Linked DNA regions of Arabidopsis thaliana. The protein of the gene in region 1 interacts with the protein of each later gene in a pairwise test. Each region holds a gene or a part of one and is shown in the gene's direction. Other genes may lie near its edges.

What was found.
Region 2: the proteins of MORF3 (region 1) and PAP2 interact in a two-hybrid assay, tested with the Arabidopsis thaliana proteins (one study listed by BioGRID).

Annotation. Positions count from the first base shown.
Region 1 is NC_003074.8:2,142,324-2,149,137, reverse strand, and holds MORF3 (plastid developmental protein DAG), read left to right. Parts: upstream 1-3,330; 5' UTR 3,331-3,394; coding exon 3,395-3,774; coding exon of another isoform or gene 3,775-3,778; intron 3,779-3,873; coding exon 3,874-3,971; intron 3,972-4,225; coding exon 4,226-4,291; intron 4,292-4,383; coding exon 4,384-4,574; 3' UTR 4,575-4,754; downstream 4,755-6,814. Other genes in the region: IBR3 (acyl-CoA dehydrogenase-like protein), read right to left, coding at 1-173, 254-495, 569-686, 768-866, 982-1,101, 1,191-1,268, 1,349-1,534, 1,650-1,781 and 3 more; AT3G06780 (glycine-rich protein), read right to left, coding at 4,899-5,504. UniProt on the Arabidopsis thaliana protein: Involved in organellar RNA editing. Required for the processing of RNA editing sites in mitochondria.
Region 2 is NC_003070.9:4,750,907-4,759,081, reverse strand, and holds PAP2 (Purple acid phosphatases superfamily protein), read left to right. Parts: upstream 1-3,425; 5' UTR 3,426-3,527; coding exon 3,528-4,223; intron 4,224-4,313; coding exon 4,314-5,588; 3' UTR 5,589-5,983; downstream 5,984-8,175. Other genes in the region: AT1G13920 (Remorin family protein), read right to left, coding at 1-158, 247-346, 437-594, 686-783, 869-993; AT1G13910 (Leucine-rich repeat (LRR) family protein), read right to left, coding at 1,268-1,358, 1,457-1,528, 1,630-1,701, 1,784-1,855, 1,920-2,000, 2,091-2,234, 2,311-2,382, 2,452-2,523 and 3 more; SNAP30 (soluble N-ethylmaleimide-sensitive factor adaptor protein 30), read right to left, coding at 6,238-6,337, 6,421-6,518, 6,602-6,726, 6,930-7,023, 7,127-7,501; AT1G13880 (ELM2 domain-containing protein), read right to left, coding at 8,115-8,175.

The DNA of each region.
Region 1 (6,814 bases):
CCACAGTTAAACACCTGTGGAGCCCAAACAGAACGACCCATGATCTCACAAAGGTAACCATACTCCAGGTTCGTGAGGCCCTCACCAAACAATTGATCAAAAGACTTGCCCGAGAGGTTATGTTTATTCTCGGTAGCCGCCAGTTCTCTTCTAGCTCTAGCAGCACTATCTACCTGCAAGAACCAAGAATCAATAAGTACAGTCTCAATCAGGGTAAAAGTAATAAGAGATTTGTAGCGAAAAAGATGCATACAGGAACAAATAAGTTCCATAGGCCTTCTCTCTTTGCCATTTCCTTTAACTTTTCCTCCTGAGGGTGAACGGTCCATCGCATATCTGATTGAGCAAGTTTGGAGAACTCGTTTTCCATTGGGTAGATATGAGTTTCCATAAACTTGATCAACTTCTGCCTTAACTCCAATACTTTTCTGTTGGGGATGAATCTCCCGCTTCCATCCACAAGGCTTTCATACGACGGAGACACGTCTCTTTGAACTGCATCCATATATAAGAAATGTAAAATAAACAGTTATCCTTAACAAACTTGAATCTCAAAGAGGTCGATTACCAGATGGAGGGTGTTCTGGAAGAACATTTTCACGTGCAATATAACCCAAGGCAGACTCTACAAGCTCATTAGCTTGAACCCCTGTATTTCGCGCTCTTTCACCGGCAGAAGCATTCCCCTGCATGATCAACACAATGTCAATGGCTCTACAACTGCATAATAAAGAATCTTAGAATTCAAAAATATGCCCGGGGAATACCATTAACCATCTACTGTACACCCCTGTGTAGATTGAAGCAGCCCGAAATAAGGAGAACGCTACGTAGAACTTCCAGTTTGCAGCAGGCCATGGTTTTCCCTAAAGTTCATTTGCCAATATGTCACTACAACAGAAATTGAGAAAATATAGGCAATGTACAAGGAACACCTGACTTGATTCCTTTTAAAGACTACATGTTGTTGCAGGACAATACCGATGCAGAACAGTATTCTAAGAGAAATTCTGGCATCGAAAGCATTCCTTCTGGAAGCCCAGTAGTTTCAAAACCTTCACTAACATGCTCCTTATCGAGCTGAACATTCACAATGTAATGCTGCCAACACAAATGAACTGTATATCAGAGCAGGAAGCAAAGAAAACTGCTTTATGAGTACAATACAACAAACAAGAATAGGTTATTACCATGCAGCTGTATGCAACATCACACATTTGGTTCCCAAGCGTGGACAATTCCCAGTCAATTATTCCAATAACTCGATCCTACAGTTTAAGATATTTTCAGTTAAGTCTCCGAGACTATCCAAGGATCAGAAAACAAAAGATCTTGAAAGTATTAAGACCTCAGAAGGATGAAAAACGAGATTGTCAATGCGAAAGTCTCCATGGACAAGGCCTGATGTTGCTCCAGTTGAATCTTCCGCGGGGATGTTTTTGCGTAACCAATCAACAAGCTCAAACATCTTTGGATTCCTTTCAGGTTTACCTTCACTTGTTGAAGCCAAATATTGTTTGAACCACCTATCTATCTGAAATGGAGGTATCCAAAAGAAAAAACTTTAGCAAGAGCATATAAGCATTAAGAGAACATCAAACTAGTGAGTAGTGATTTGGAAATTCACCAGCCCCAAATAAAGAACAAACCTGTCTTTTGCAGTAATTGCCTCGCCGACCATATTTCTCAAGACCAATGGCATCCACATCAGCAGAGTGAAGAGATGCCAAGGCTTTGGCGGTTGCACGATAGATCGCATTTCTCCTTTCAGGTGCTACATTCTAAATCAAAACCGATGAAACACACACAAATTTACACCTTTCGTTTACAATGAGTCACATCTCAAGCTAAAAAAACCGTACATACACATTCACATAACAGAGAATATCTTACCGGCAACTTTGGATCAATGAAAATACGTCCTTCCATAAACTCCATAATGTAAAAAGCAGTCCCAATGACAGCAGGGTCAGTGCATAAGCAGAAGACTTTAGGAACAGGAACCTGTGTATGTTCACCTAAAGCCCGAAGCACCTACATAAACCAACCACCATCAAAGTATTAAGCAAAAAAAGCATCTACCTTTAGTTGATACCGTATCTCTTATAAGCAGCATCACAAAAAGTTACAATGATTCTGCATTTCAAAACGGTACTAGAAACAACAAAATTTCATCTTCTTCAAAAATCGAGTATGAACAGTTACAATGAATTTTACAGAGGTAAAGATTATTAATTGATTGATACCTGAAACTCTCGATCAACAGCATGAGCAGATTGAAGAAGCTTGCCAGGAGGCTTCTTCCTCAAAACGTATCGTTTCAAGGAACTCCCTGAGCCAACCTCTATCAGAAACGTTGGATTCGACTGCCCATGTCCGAACTGTATGTAAACCAAACCAAAACAAAACACAGTCAGATAAAAGTTTCTTTCTTACCGGAGAAAAAACCTCGGCGATTGGAAAACATACCTGTGAGACTTTGAATTGGGAAGGGTTGGTCGGAAAGCCAGAGACGTTGTCGGCGGCAAAACGAAACAAGGCATCGTGATCGAAACGGTGAGCTGATTGGATACGTGTCACAAGATCGCCCGTGCTGCTTCCCATGATGTTCCTTCACTCTCCTCTATCTCGCTCTGCTCCTCAGAGATTCATCAACAAGAATAGCTCTCTAAAACACAAATACACGCATTCATACCAACAATTCCATTTACGGAAAGTCGCATAACCTTTCTTTTGGATAATTTTCTTTTTACTTTTGACCTTACAGCAATTTCAGAAATGTTTATCTACTTTTCTTATTTTTGGAGAGATAATTCTATGTTTTCTTTTTTTATAAATAGTAAATACAGTAACCATTTTGATTTTGATAATCATCGTTATTATCGTCATTGTGATTTTATATGCATCCAAAAAAAGCCAAAGATAATTACTAATTACTAACCATATATAGGTTGGAAAAGTTATCCATGAATTAACTTGATGGACATTTTGCTAACTCAAATCAAAATTTTAGATTAGGTGATTTGACTTAGGACGTCATATTCACATTAAGAAAGCTAATACAAAATGAATACGTTTTATAGCTAACGAGGACGAAATTTTCTTTCTGAAAACACTTAAGAATGAACAAACAATTTGACAAGCGATAATTGAAACATTTTTTTAACACTGAAAGTGTTTCAATTAGGAGTGTTGAAGTATTTGACAAGAAGATTTAAAGTATTTTTCTGTTGGGAAACTTTTAACTACTAAACTAAGGAATTTAATGTAGAGAAATTTTTTAATAGCCCATCTAAAAAGTATAAATCAAAGGCCCACTAAGCCCATATAGTTTCTCAAAGCTTCTGCAAAGAGAAGGACCGAAGAAGAACAGAAGCCGAAACCCTCACCGGCGATGGCTCTTATCAGCACACGGCGAACATTATCGACACTCCTAAACAAAACCCTCTCTTCCTCTACTTCATATTCTTCTTCATTTCCTACGCTCTCTTCTCGTTCTCGATTCGCCATGCCTCTAATTGAAAAGGTTTCCTCTTCCCGAACCAGCCTGGGCCCGTGTTACATCTCGACCCGACCCAAGACATCCGGGTCCGGATACTCGCCGCTGAATGATCCTTCGCCGAATTGGAGCAACCGTCCGCCGAAGGAGACGATTCTTCTTGATGGGTGCGATTATGAGCACTGGCTCATCGTCATGGAGTTCACTGATCCTAAACCTACTGAAGAAGAGATGATCAATTCTTATGTCAAAACCTTAACTTCCGTCCTTGGCTGGCAAGTTCCTTTTCATTTGATTTTGACTCTCAAATGTTTTCTTGTGCATTTGGGGATTGACGGATTTGCATTTTGTGGGTAATAATGGTTAAACTATAGTGAGGAAGAGGCCAAGAAGAAGATTTACTCTGTTTGTACTTCGACCTACACTGGCTTTGGTGCTTTGATCTCTGAAGAGCTCTCTTGCAAAGTCAAAGGTATCAACTTCTCCATATTTGCAATTAGGTTTTTAAGCCTTTTTTGCTCTGACATAGCTTTTCTAGTTGTTTACTTATGATGTTGAGATTTATCGTAAAAGGCTTTCTCTGTTTGGTACTGCTCTGTTCAACAGCTAGGAGGAAACTTCTCTTGATCTTTGTTTTATCGCAGTTATTGTCTGTCTCTAGTACTATAAAATGAGAACATATTTTACTGTTTGAGAAATCTGATCTAGAGTTGTGTGATTCATTAGCATTGCCTGGTGTTCTCTGGGTGCTGCCGGATTCCTATCTCGATGTACCAAACAAAGACTACGGAGGTGTGTAACGTTTGTAGATTTTGTCTGAATGATTGGGTACTGAGATATGGTTCTTAATACTGATACCATCTGTCTTTGGCTCTCATGTTCAGGTGACTTGTACGTTGAAGGAAAGGTCATACCCAGACCACAGTACAGGTTCACGGAACAGCGTCATACTAGACCCCGTCCTAGGCCAAGGTATGATAGGCGCCGTGAGACAATGCAGGTTGAGAGGAGAGAGCCATCCATGGGTCTTCATTCTCCAGTAAATCCGGGAGAGTTCAACAAGCCCAGTGCTTAATATTAAACATGAACAATGCATTATGTAATGGATGGAGTTTATTAGGATTATGGTATTTACATGCTTGTCTTAAACACTCATGTGAGAGACTTTTCAGTTTTTATCCACTTAATCAAACAAATCAATCATCATTCATGTCTCTAATGATGACTAAACACTACTCTAAACAGAACAAATTATAAAAATCTAATGTGAACTTGCGAAGGAGAAATTAAATAAATATGTACAATGTAATATATATACACACGAGAGATCATATGATGTAATTGGAACCGAGATTAAGAATACTTTTAACCAGGAATCATCACCACGACCACGAATTTGTCAGCATACCGGAGATAATGCAATGTTCAACTTCTCCCTTTCACCGTCGGTCACGATCCTCACTATCCTCTTGAACGCAAAGTGCACACAATTAGACAACGCGATCCAGCAAATCACTTCATACACAAATTCCATCGCTGGATCTGACCAAGACGAAAACGAAGACCCATCCCAATTATCCCTCCCGAAACCACCGCCGCCGCCGCCGTAGTTCCATCCCTTTCCGCCTCCATCGTTTCCTCCGCCTCCAAATCCAAATGGACCGTCGCTACCACCGAAATCACCTTCTAACAGAAAACGACCAAAATCTCCTGCGTCATCTCCATCTCCACCAAACGAAACTCGCCTGGTTCGTCGCTTTTTACGGATCCGGCGAATTGTCTTATAAGAGCTAGATCTGACCGGTGGAGGAGCAATTGCATCGACGGGGAAAATAATCGCCGATGCTTGAACGATTCCTCCACCGGGAGATTGATGATCAACAACGGAATCGGCGAAAGAAATGTGATTGGCCAAATCCAACCTTTGAAGAAGAGATTTCCCAAACGCGATACCTTGCTTAGCCGTGCAAACTGTGACTGTATCTGCGATCAAAGAGAACTCCATGATGATCTACAAATCCGACGACGACGACGACCTTGTTCGAATTCTCTTTTTTCCCTAAAATCCACGAAATAGTTTTGGATTAGGGATTTTTACAACATTGCCGGCGAATTTGGGTAATGACGGGAAATAAATCAGGAAGCTGATTCGGATCCGAAGGAGGCGGATAAATTGTACACGTAACTGATTTGCGCGTTGAATAGAGAAGCCACGTGTCTTGCAGTATTCACACGTGAGTCGCACGCAAGAAGGGTCCATTAATACGTGAAAGCCCAAAGTTATGGGTTGGGCTATATAATTCATTGAAGAGTTTTCGTATCACATTTCTGAAAATATACGGGTTCTATTCATAAATATAAGGAAATATGTGTCAAAAAAGCAATATTGTGGGAGCAGAAGATGTGCTTGTTCATGTGATCATTTCTCAAGGAAATTTTTCTACATGGAGTAAATCGAGAGATTATAACAACGTCGATTTAAATTATATGTGATTTCTTAGAAAGAAATCGATGGCATTTCATATGTTTAAATGTTCTTACGAGGTTGTTTGGTATGCCTTCTCTGAAATTCACACCAAAAAAAAAATGAAGTAAAATTTATAGCATAAATGGCTAAACATTTATCGTCGGTCCATAACCTAATCCTTCTGCAGATTCATCATCGACAATTTTTATGACAAATCTCACGTGCTCACTGACATTTGTTTTTTCAGACTTTAAGAGCTTCCAAACTTTGTTTTTTCATACATTCGTTAAATATGTTTCAGAAATAAAAGTTCAGGAAGTAATTGACATTTTTTATTGATAATCTAGACGTTAGCATTCCCATGTGATTATTACTTTCGGGTGACCAATTACAACCGCTATGTTTGACTTAATACTGATTTTGAGCAGTAATGAATGAATTAGGTTTCGAATATATTACTGAAATTTGCTTGGCTTCGTTACAAGAAGTCAATTACAAGTAAAACTTTGTAGTTCAAATATTAATTTCCATGACATAATTTAAAGTACTAAAGTGTTTTTGAGTTTTTCCTTATAGATCAACGCGCATGTAATACATTTGGTACATACATACTTAGCTTATGTCCAAAGCCAAACTACTGTTTTTGTTGTCTCAAGTTATAGTCAAACATCAAACACCAGAAAACAAATCACGGAATCCGATCGGAATCCAATTTTCAAAGCAAAGCTAGATATATTTATAATGTTGTTACATATTTTGTCTCTAGACAAATACATACTCCTATACAATTAGACTTCCGAGGTTTTGGATTCAATCTATGCAAAATATTGTGCTAAAAAAACAATATA
Region 2 (8,175 bases), on another chromosome or scaffold:
TCTTTCATGTTTCTCCTCTGAATCTTGATTCTGTTTGGTGTGGTCTCCCATCAAGTTCATGGAGAAAGTCTTTTTTACCGAAGATGACTTTCTCATTGGGGACTTTAGTGTAGGAGGTTTATGATCTTTCGTCTCTGAATCTATAAACGAAAGTTGCCCTGTGTCAACACAAAAACGTAAACTGATTTCAGAAAACATTTTCAGTTGAATAACAAAATCTGATCTTGAGTTATTCTGTAACCTCACCTGAGAATCTTCTTGATAAGCTTCTTGGTTCCTCTAAAGGCAACAGTTCTTCACTTCTGCTCTTGCTCCTTGACGAAGAAGGTCCAAGTTCAAGGCCACTCTGTTTTGTTTTACAATTTCAAACCACAACAAACTCAAATTACGAGAAAATGTTTACTCTAACAAAAACTCTGTTTTTAAAAACCGTTACATGATAGTTCTCTAGCCAAGTTTCTTCAAAAGTGGCTATGGCATAGGCAGTGGCTGCAACTGCAGCTGCATGATCCATTTCTCCGATGGGATCATAACTTTGGCCACTCATTTGCCTCGAGAACTGCTTCTGTAACCAGTTTGAAGGCTTCTTCTTATCTACCAACACACATGATATGATAATGTGAAATTAATCAAGCATCAAAGATTGATAGGCTATTAAGAACAACAGAGCAGAATTTTGTGGCACCTTCTTTGAATGAAACAGACTTCCTTGCTGACACTTTTTTCTCTCTAGTTGAGCTACCAACCTCTCTAATTTTTTCCTGGGAAGCTGGATGCTTCCTCCTGAGACAAAGATAACAACATTTTACATCAATATATGTATATGTGGCTGAATAGAAAATCTGAATTTGGAGATTTAGTGAATTACCTTGTCTGCTTGATTAAGGTATCCATTTTCAAACTAAAATATGGTGGGAGGACTTGAGAAGATGTGTTTGAGGGTTTTGGTTTTTTAAGGGTTTTTGAGATTATTGCTTTGCATGCAAGTTTCATATTTGGATCATAAAGATGTGCAGGTAAAGTAAAGAACACTTTTTCTATTCTTCTCCCTCTTCAGCTTTTTGGTTCTTTGCTTTCTCAAAACGACAGTGAAAAGAACAAACCAGATTCCTTTTATATTCAATTTTCATACATGGATAAGGAATCTTTTACATTCAGAAAACACATCAACTACAATCTCGCTTTAACAGAGAAAATGAATCTTAAATAACCAGTTAACACTGCCAAATTCCTATCTGTAAATGAAACAAAGTTGTGCTATACATAACTAAACAAGGAAGTCTGTGTCAGAAAGTTCGAGGACCTTATGTGCACCAATCGCCTTCACGTCTGATTTGAAAGCATTCCCTTCTATGTACCTGCCACATACATGATACATCCCATCAAGAATTAAATTAGAACATGTGTGTTATATATCGTCTTACACAATGAGACCTTAGAGAGCTTATGAACATACATATCTTTTAGGTTTGGATGCTTGTAGAAGGCTTCAGGTATACTTCCATTGAATAGATTGTGGTCCAAGTGCCTGAAGTTAAATCAAAACATGCTCTAAGGATGCAGAAGAACATATAGGTCGTTTTTCAGATCAGTTCTTAGTTATGTATTTAGTAGAGGAGAGAGGCCTACAAGTTAGTTAGTCTTGGTATACTGGCAAGTGCAGCGGGTATTGCTCCAGTCATTTTGTTGAAAGATAAGTACCTAAACATAAAAAAGATAAGATAGGGAGAGAAAAAACATGTAAATGATGTTAATAAATCAAAAGAAGTGATCAAGTACTCACAAGATCTCCAGGTTTGTTAGATTTGCAAGCTTGTTTGGGAGTCCTCCAGTCAAGTAATTATTGTTTAAAAACCTACAGCCAAAAGTGAGCTTAGACAAAATACTACTTTTGATGGCTAACTCTTAAACTCACTTACAGGTTTCTAAGAGCTGGAAAGCATCCTTCAATGCGAAAAAGATCGCTTATACTCCCCACTAAGTTATTGTTGCCAGCATCCCTACAGATTCATGACAGAGATATTAAGCATATCTGAAGTCAGTTGCTTGATCATGATCTACAATAAAGAGCACTGAATGTCAAAGATTACAAGTGGCGAAGTTTTTGTAATGTTCCCAGCTCTGCTGGAATTCGCCCAGTAAAATGATTCTCCTGAATATGTAAGTACTGGAGCTCATGGAGATTTGCAAGTTCTTTGGGGATTTCTCCTTTGAAATTGTTAAAACTCAGGTACCTGCAATATTAAGAGCATGTTACAGAGCCACAAGAAAACCCCTTCAACCATCCTGAAATGAGCTAGGATTACTCACAGATAAGTTAGACTCTTCAATCCACCAATTTCAGGAGGCAGTGCCTGTTGAAGTTTGTTCCACCTCAAATTCCTACGAAACCAAACAAGATCAAGACAAAGCAAGTAGCCAAACTGAATTCCTCAAGTTGAAGAGTATTACAGTGTGATAAGCCGCTTAAGCCGCCCAATTTCTGGAGGAATAGGACCTGTTAATTTGTTATTATGCATATCCCTGCCAACCATAATCCAAATTCATTTAAACAATCAATCATACACTCAGCAATAAAATTGTTTCCATCAAAATTAACAAGAACCCAAAAGTTTTCAACTTTTCAACAACATTGCAAAGTCAGTGAAACTTACAAAACAGTGAGATCTAAGAGCTTCGTTATAGCCTTTGGGAAATTCCCAACTATCGACATTGAATACACTTCTCTGCAAAAAAGATCACAAACCATTTTTAAGTGAAAAATCAATTCAAAGCCTCAAACTTTAAGAGAATGAGAGTCAAAAGATTACAGCTTGACGACGACACGATAATCGCCAACTTTAGAGCAAGTAACTCCAGACCACGGAGGCAAAACTCCATCGCCACAAGGATCATCTCCAACCCAAGAGTATACCAATCTCCATCCCACCAATTTCTTTATCTCATTCAAAGCTTTCACTGCCAAAACCAAAAACTCAAATCAGAAAAAGCAAAAACCCGACTAAAAATCACAAATTTGGAAGAGCTTACTGTCTCGTTTAAGTGTTTTAGCGAAGGAGACATTGAACAGCAACAAAAGAGCGTAAATCCGGAGGATTAGATACAAGCTCAAACTCAAATTCGCCATCGATTATGCTGCGAGCTTAAGAAATCATGAACTCTTCATGGGTTTAAGAAGAAGAGAAGAATCAATTTTATAAAATCGGAAAGTGAAATTGTGTGTGAGGAAGAAGAAGAATTATTTATCATCGCCATGGAAGAAAGCAAGCTCAGTGGAAACTAAACTAACCAAAAACAGTTCAAATTCCAACAATATTTTAATATATTAAATAGACCGAGTAAGGCCCATAATATTGGGCTTAGATAGGCCCATATATAAGAAGGTGATACGTCATAAATCAATATTGGTTTTAAAAATAGCTAACCAATCATAACGAACGGTAGAAACGTCGTCGTTTAAACAACTGTTTATATATCTTCCATCTCCGGTGTTCCGGCAACATTTATTCTTACGTTCCTCCGTCGCCATGATCGTTAATTTCTCTTTCTTCCTCCTTCTCTTCGTCTCCGTCTTCGTTTCCTCTGCTGATTCTAAAGCGACCATTTCAATTTCCCCTAATGCTCTCAATCGATCTGGCGATTCCGTTGTGATACAATGGTCCGGTGTCGATTCTCCGTCAGATCTCGATTGGTTAGGACTCTACTCGCCGCCGGAGTCTCCTAATGATCACTTTATTGGTTACAAATTCCTCAATGAATCGTCCACTTGGAAAGATGGTTTCGGTTCGATTTCTCTTCCTTTAACCAATCTCCGATCAAATTACACATTCCGGATCTTCCGTTGGAGCGAATCCGAGATTGATCCGAAACATAAGGATCATGATCAGAATCCTTTACCAGGAACTAAACATCTTCTAGCTGAATCGGAGCAGCTGACTTTCGGATCCGGTGTTGGTATGCCGGAGCAGATCCATTTGTCGTTCACAAATATGGTTAACACGATGCGTGTTATGTTTGTAGCTGGAGATGGTGAAGAACGTTTTGTTAGATACGGTGAATCGAAGGATTTGTTAGGTAATTCCGCGGCGGCGCGTGGGATGAGGTACGAGAGAGAGCACATGTGTGATTCGCCGGCGAATTCCACTATTGGTTGGAGAGATCCTGGTTGGATTTTTGATACCGTCATGAAGAATTTGAATGATGGCGTTAGATACTATTATCAGGTAATATAAAGTCTCGATTTTGAAGCTTATGCATGATAGATTTGGGAGAAATATGTTTTGATTGATCAAATTTATGATTCTATGAATTAGGTTGGGAGTGATTCTAAGGGATGGAGTGAGATCCATAGCTACATTGCTCGAGATGTGACTGCAGAAGAAACCGTAGCTTTCATGTTTGGAGATATGGGTTGTGCTACACCATACACGACATTTATCCGCACACAAGATGAGAGCATATCTACAGTGAAGTGGATCCTCCGTGACATTGAAGCTCTTGGTGATAAGCCAGCTATGATTTCACACATTGGAGATATAAGTTATGCTCGTGGTTACTCGTGGGTATGGGATGAGTTCTTTGCTCAGGTTGAGCCTATTGCCTCGACAGTTCCTTACCATGTTTGCATTGGTAACCATGAGTATGATTTCTCTACTCAGCCGTGGAAACCTGATTGGGCAGCTTCTATTTATGGAAACGATGGTGGTGGCGAATGTGGTGTGCCGTATAGCTTGAAGTTTAACATGCCTGGGAATTCTTCAGAGTCTACAGGAATGAAAGCTCCTCCGACAAGGAATTTATATTATTCTTATGATATGGGAACGGTCCATTTCGTTTATATCTCCACAGAGACGAATTTTCTTAAAGGAGGTAGTCAATATGAATTCATAAAGCGAGATCTAGAGTCTGTAGACAGGAAGAAAACACCGTTTGTTGTTGTGCAAGGACATAGACCAATGTACACTACGAGCAACGAGGTTAGAGACACTATGATTCGACAAAAGATGGTTGAGCATCTAGAACCTTTGTTTGTGAAAAACAATGTCACACTTGCTCTATGGGGACATGTTCATAGATACGAAAGGTTTTGTCCCATAAGCAACAACACTTGCGGCACACAGTGGCAAGGAAATCCGGTTCATCTTGTGATCGGTATGGCTGGTCAAGATTGGCAACCGATTTGGCAGCCTAGACCAAACCATCCAGATCTTCCTATATTCCCTCAGCCTGAACAATCAATGTATCGTACAGGTGAGTTTGGTTACACTCGTTTAGTTGCAAACAAAGAAAAGCTCACTGTTTCTTTTGTGGGTAATCACGATGGCGAAGTTCATGATACTGTTGAGATGTTAGCATCTGGGGTAGTAATCAGTGGGAGCAAAGAGAGTACTAAAATCCCAAATCTGAAAACCGTTCCTGCTTCTGCTACACTTATGGGAAAATCAGAATCTAATGCTTTGTGGTATGCCAAAGGAGCAGGCTTGATGGTTGTGGGTGTGCTTTTAGGGTTCATTATCGGGTTTTTTACCCGGGGAAAGAAATCTTCGTCTGGAAACCGTTGGATCCCAGTCAAGAACGAGGAGACATAATCACATAATGTTGAACTGAGTCTATTATTTAGAGGCACGATTTGTATAGTATCCTTTTTTTCCCACGGTAAGAACCATGTTTCTTTACAACTACAGCTGGGAAGATATATAACATAAGTTTTTGTGCACTATAATAATAGTGATTCTTGTTACATAGTATGATTCATGTGTTTTTTTTTGAAGAATTTGCTGTAATTACAGATTGAAGAAGTTTTGCTGTAATTACATTATGTAGTGTATGAGAGTATATATACATTCAACAATTGTAGAGGCTAATCAATCGAGCATTGGAATGTTGATTATGCCAAAGCATAAGTGTAACCAATTATAGTATGGATTTGATGTTTTCTATTTTTGTTTGGTTATATGCTTTTTGAATATCAAAAGGTAAATTAGATTAATTTATTTGGATCGGTTTGATTTAGATTGGATCAATTCAATATATTAGGATTAAACACTCATGGAATATTGTCTGGAAAATTTAAGCTTGAGAAAAAAAATTGAATCAAATGCGTTAATATTGACAATTTTCATAGCAAAGAATGAATAAAGAAGAAAATCACAACTGTTCAAACGTAAAAAAAAGAAGAGAGAATGATACAATATAATATACATATAAGAACAATGGTATTTTGTGGAAGGTGTTTTCTTATTTGGAAAGCAAGTGACGTGCCCGTTGATTAGCTCCTTGAACACGAGAGTTAAGCTCATCAACATCGTCGCCGAGATGATCAAGAGCTTTGTTTTGCCTGCAAATTTGCCCCCAACAATAGTAAGTATTCTACAAACATAAGCATAAAATGTATGAAAGTATGTATTTGTGTTATCTGACTTGTCGATCTCAGATCCCATATCAACGGCCATGCTCTTAAGATCACCCAATATGTCACTTAAATCTGAAAGTCCATCGTCTTGCTTTGCCTTCTCTTGCTGCATTAAACATACACCTTTTAATACGTATTCTTAATAAAGAAAGCATATAAGATGCAAAAACTTGTAAAAAGAACACAAACCTCAACTTTCTGCAACGCATTTGTTGGTTGATCTAATGCTGGTTGACTGCTCGATCGTCCTTTTGCACCCAAACCAAGTTTCTCCCGCTCTTCCTTGTGATTCTCGCTCTTCTTCGACGGTTTATCTAAAATTTCGATAACTATATTAAACATGACCACCATACACATGATCAAGAGTCCTAACAACGTGAATACAATAAGGATTGAGATTATATGAGTTATTAACGGGCTAGGTATGAATCAACCCTTCTCTAAGATATTATAAGATACATGATCATCATAACATTATTTTATCCAATCAATATCAAGAGCTCGGAAGCTTTAAAACCTGGTGTGATCATAGGTCCTGTGATATTTTTAGTCTTCTTTGGTTTCCATGGCTTTGAAAACATTCCTCCTAAGTTGTTCAAAAGCTTCTCCCCCTGATCTCACAAACATTTTTTCTTATCAACGCTCCATAAAACAGAACATATAATTTCACATTTTCGTATCGAAGAAAGTAAGAAAAATTAAAAAAAGTTTTACCCGACTGAGATCTTTATCCATATCAACAGCCATTTCATGAGTCCTGTTGATTTGTTCACCTTGCTGATGCAACATTTCGAGCGTTCTTGCACCATCTGATCTTATATCTTCAGCGATCTTAAGACAATTATTAACACCTTTGGTTGTTTCTTCAGCTTTATAAACTGCATATTTTTCTAATTCTTCTGTCGTTTGGCTCTGCAGACCACCAGAATCGTTGAAACCGTTCTTGTATTTGTCGTCATCGTCGAAATCTGGTGTTATCAGGATTGGTTCTGAAGAAGTCCTTCTTCCTGCAGTGATTGTTCCTCCTTTGTTGTTTGATGATTCATTGGGAAGTTTATTGTTCCCCGGAGATTTGAAAAACCCAAACATCTATGTAACAATGAGGTGATGATGATTATCGATTAAACTGATAAAAAAGATTGAATCAGGAAGAAATAGAATTTGATGGGTTGGTTACCTGTGAAATCTCAAAGATTAGAAAAAAAAAGATTATAATCAAGAAAACTTCAGGGATTAGAAAAAAGAAAATGGTTATCCAAAAATAGAAACCTGTGACAGAGATATGTAATAACGTCCTATGCTTCTCCCTATTTTGGGACCGTTAAGAGTGTAATAACCAAACACTGTTTCAGAGAGAAGGCTTATGTCTTAACATGTTTAATGGAGAAATGTCAAGACCCATATTAATTTCGTTTTGCTTGTGCATATAGGAAGTGAGATATGTATACTAAAAGATATGAACAAAAGTTAGTTTATTAAACAGTTGAAGAATTTTTTTTATCTTCTTACAACAAAATCTAAAAATAGTAAATAAAAATAACCTAAAGTATCAAAAACACATAAGTTTCCACGGCCATAAAACTATACACGACATGCCTCCCTCAAAACTTCCAACTTGAGATTTTCTTAAATAATGCATTTACATACAGAAGATTCAGAACTTGGAGCAGAGTAGCAATGGACATGGGAGACAATTCTTCATTTACTTCCCTCTGGAGAAATCATCCCATGGGTGGTCTTGACCAAAGATTTCGTCGATAATG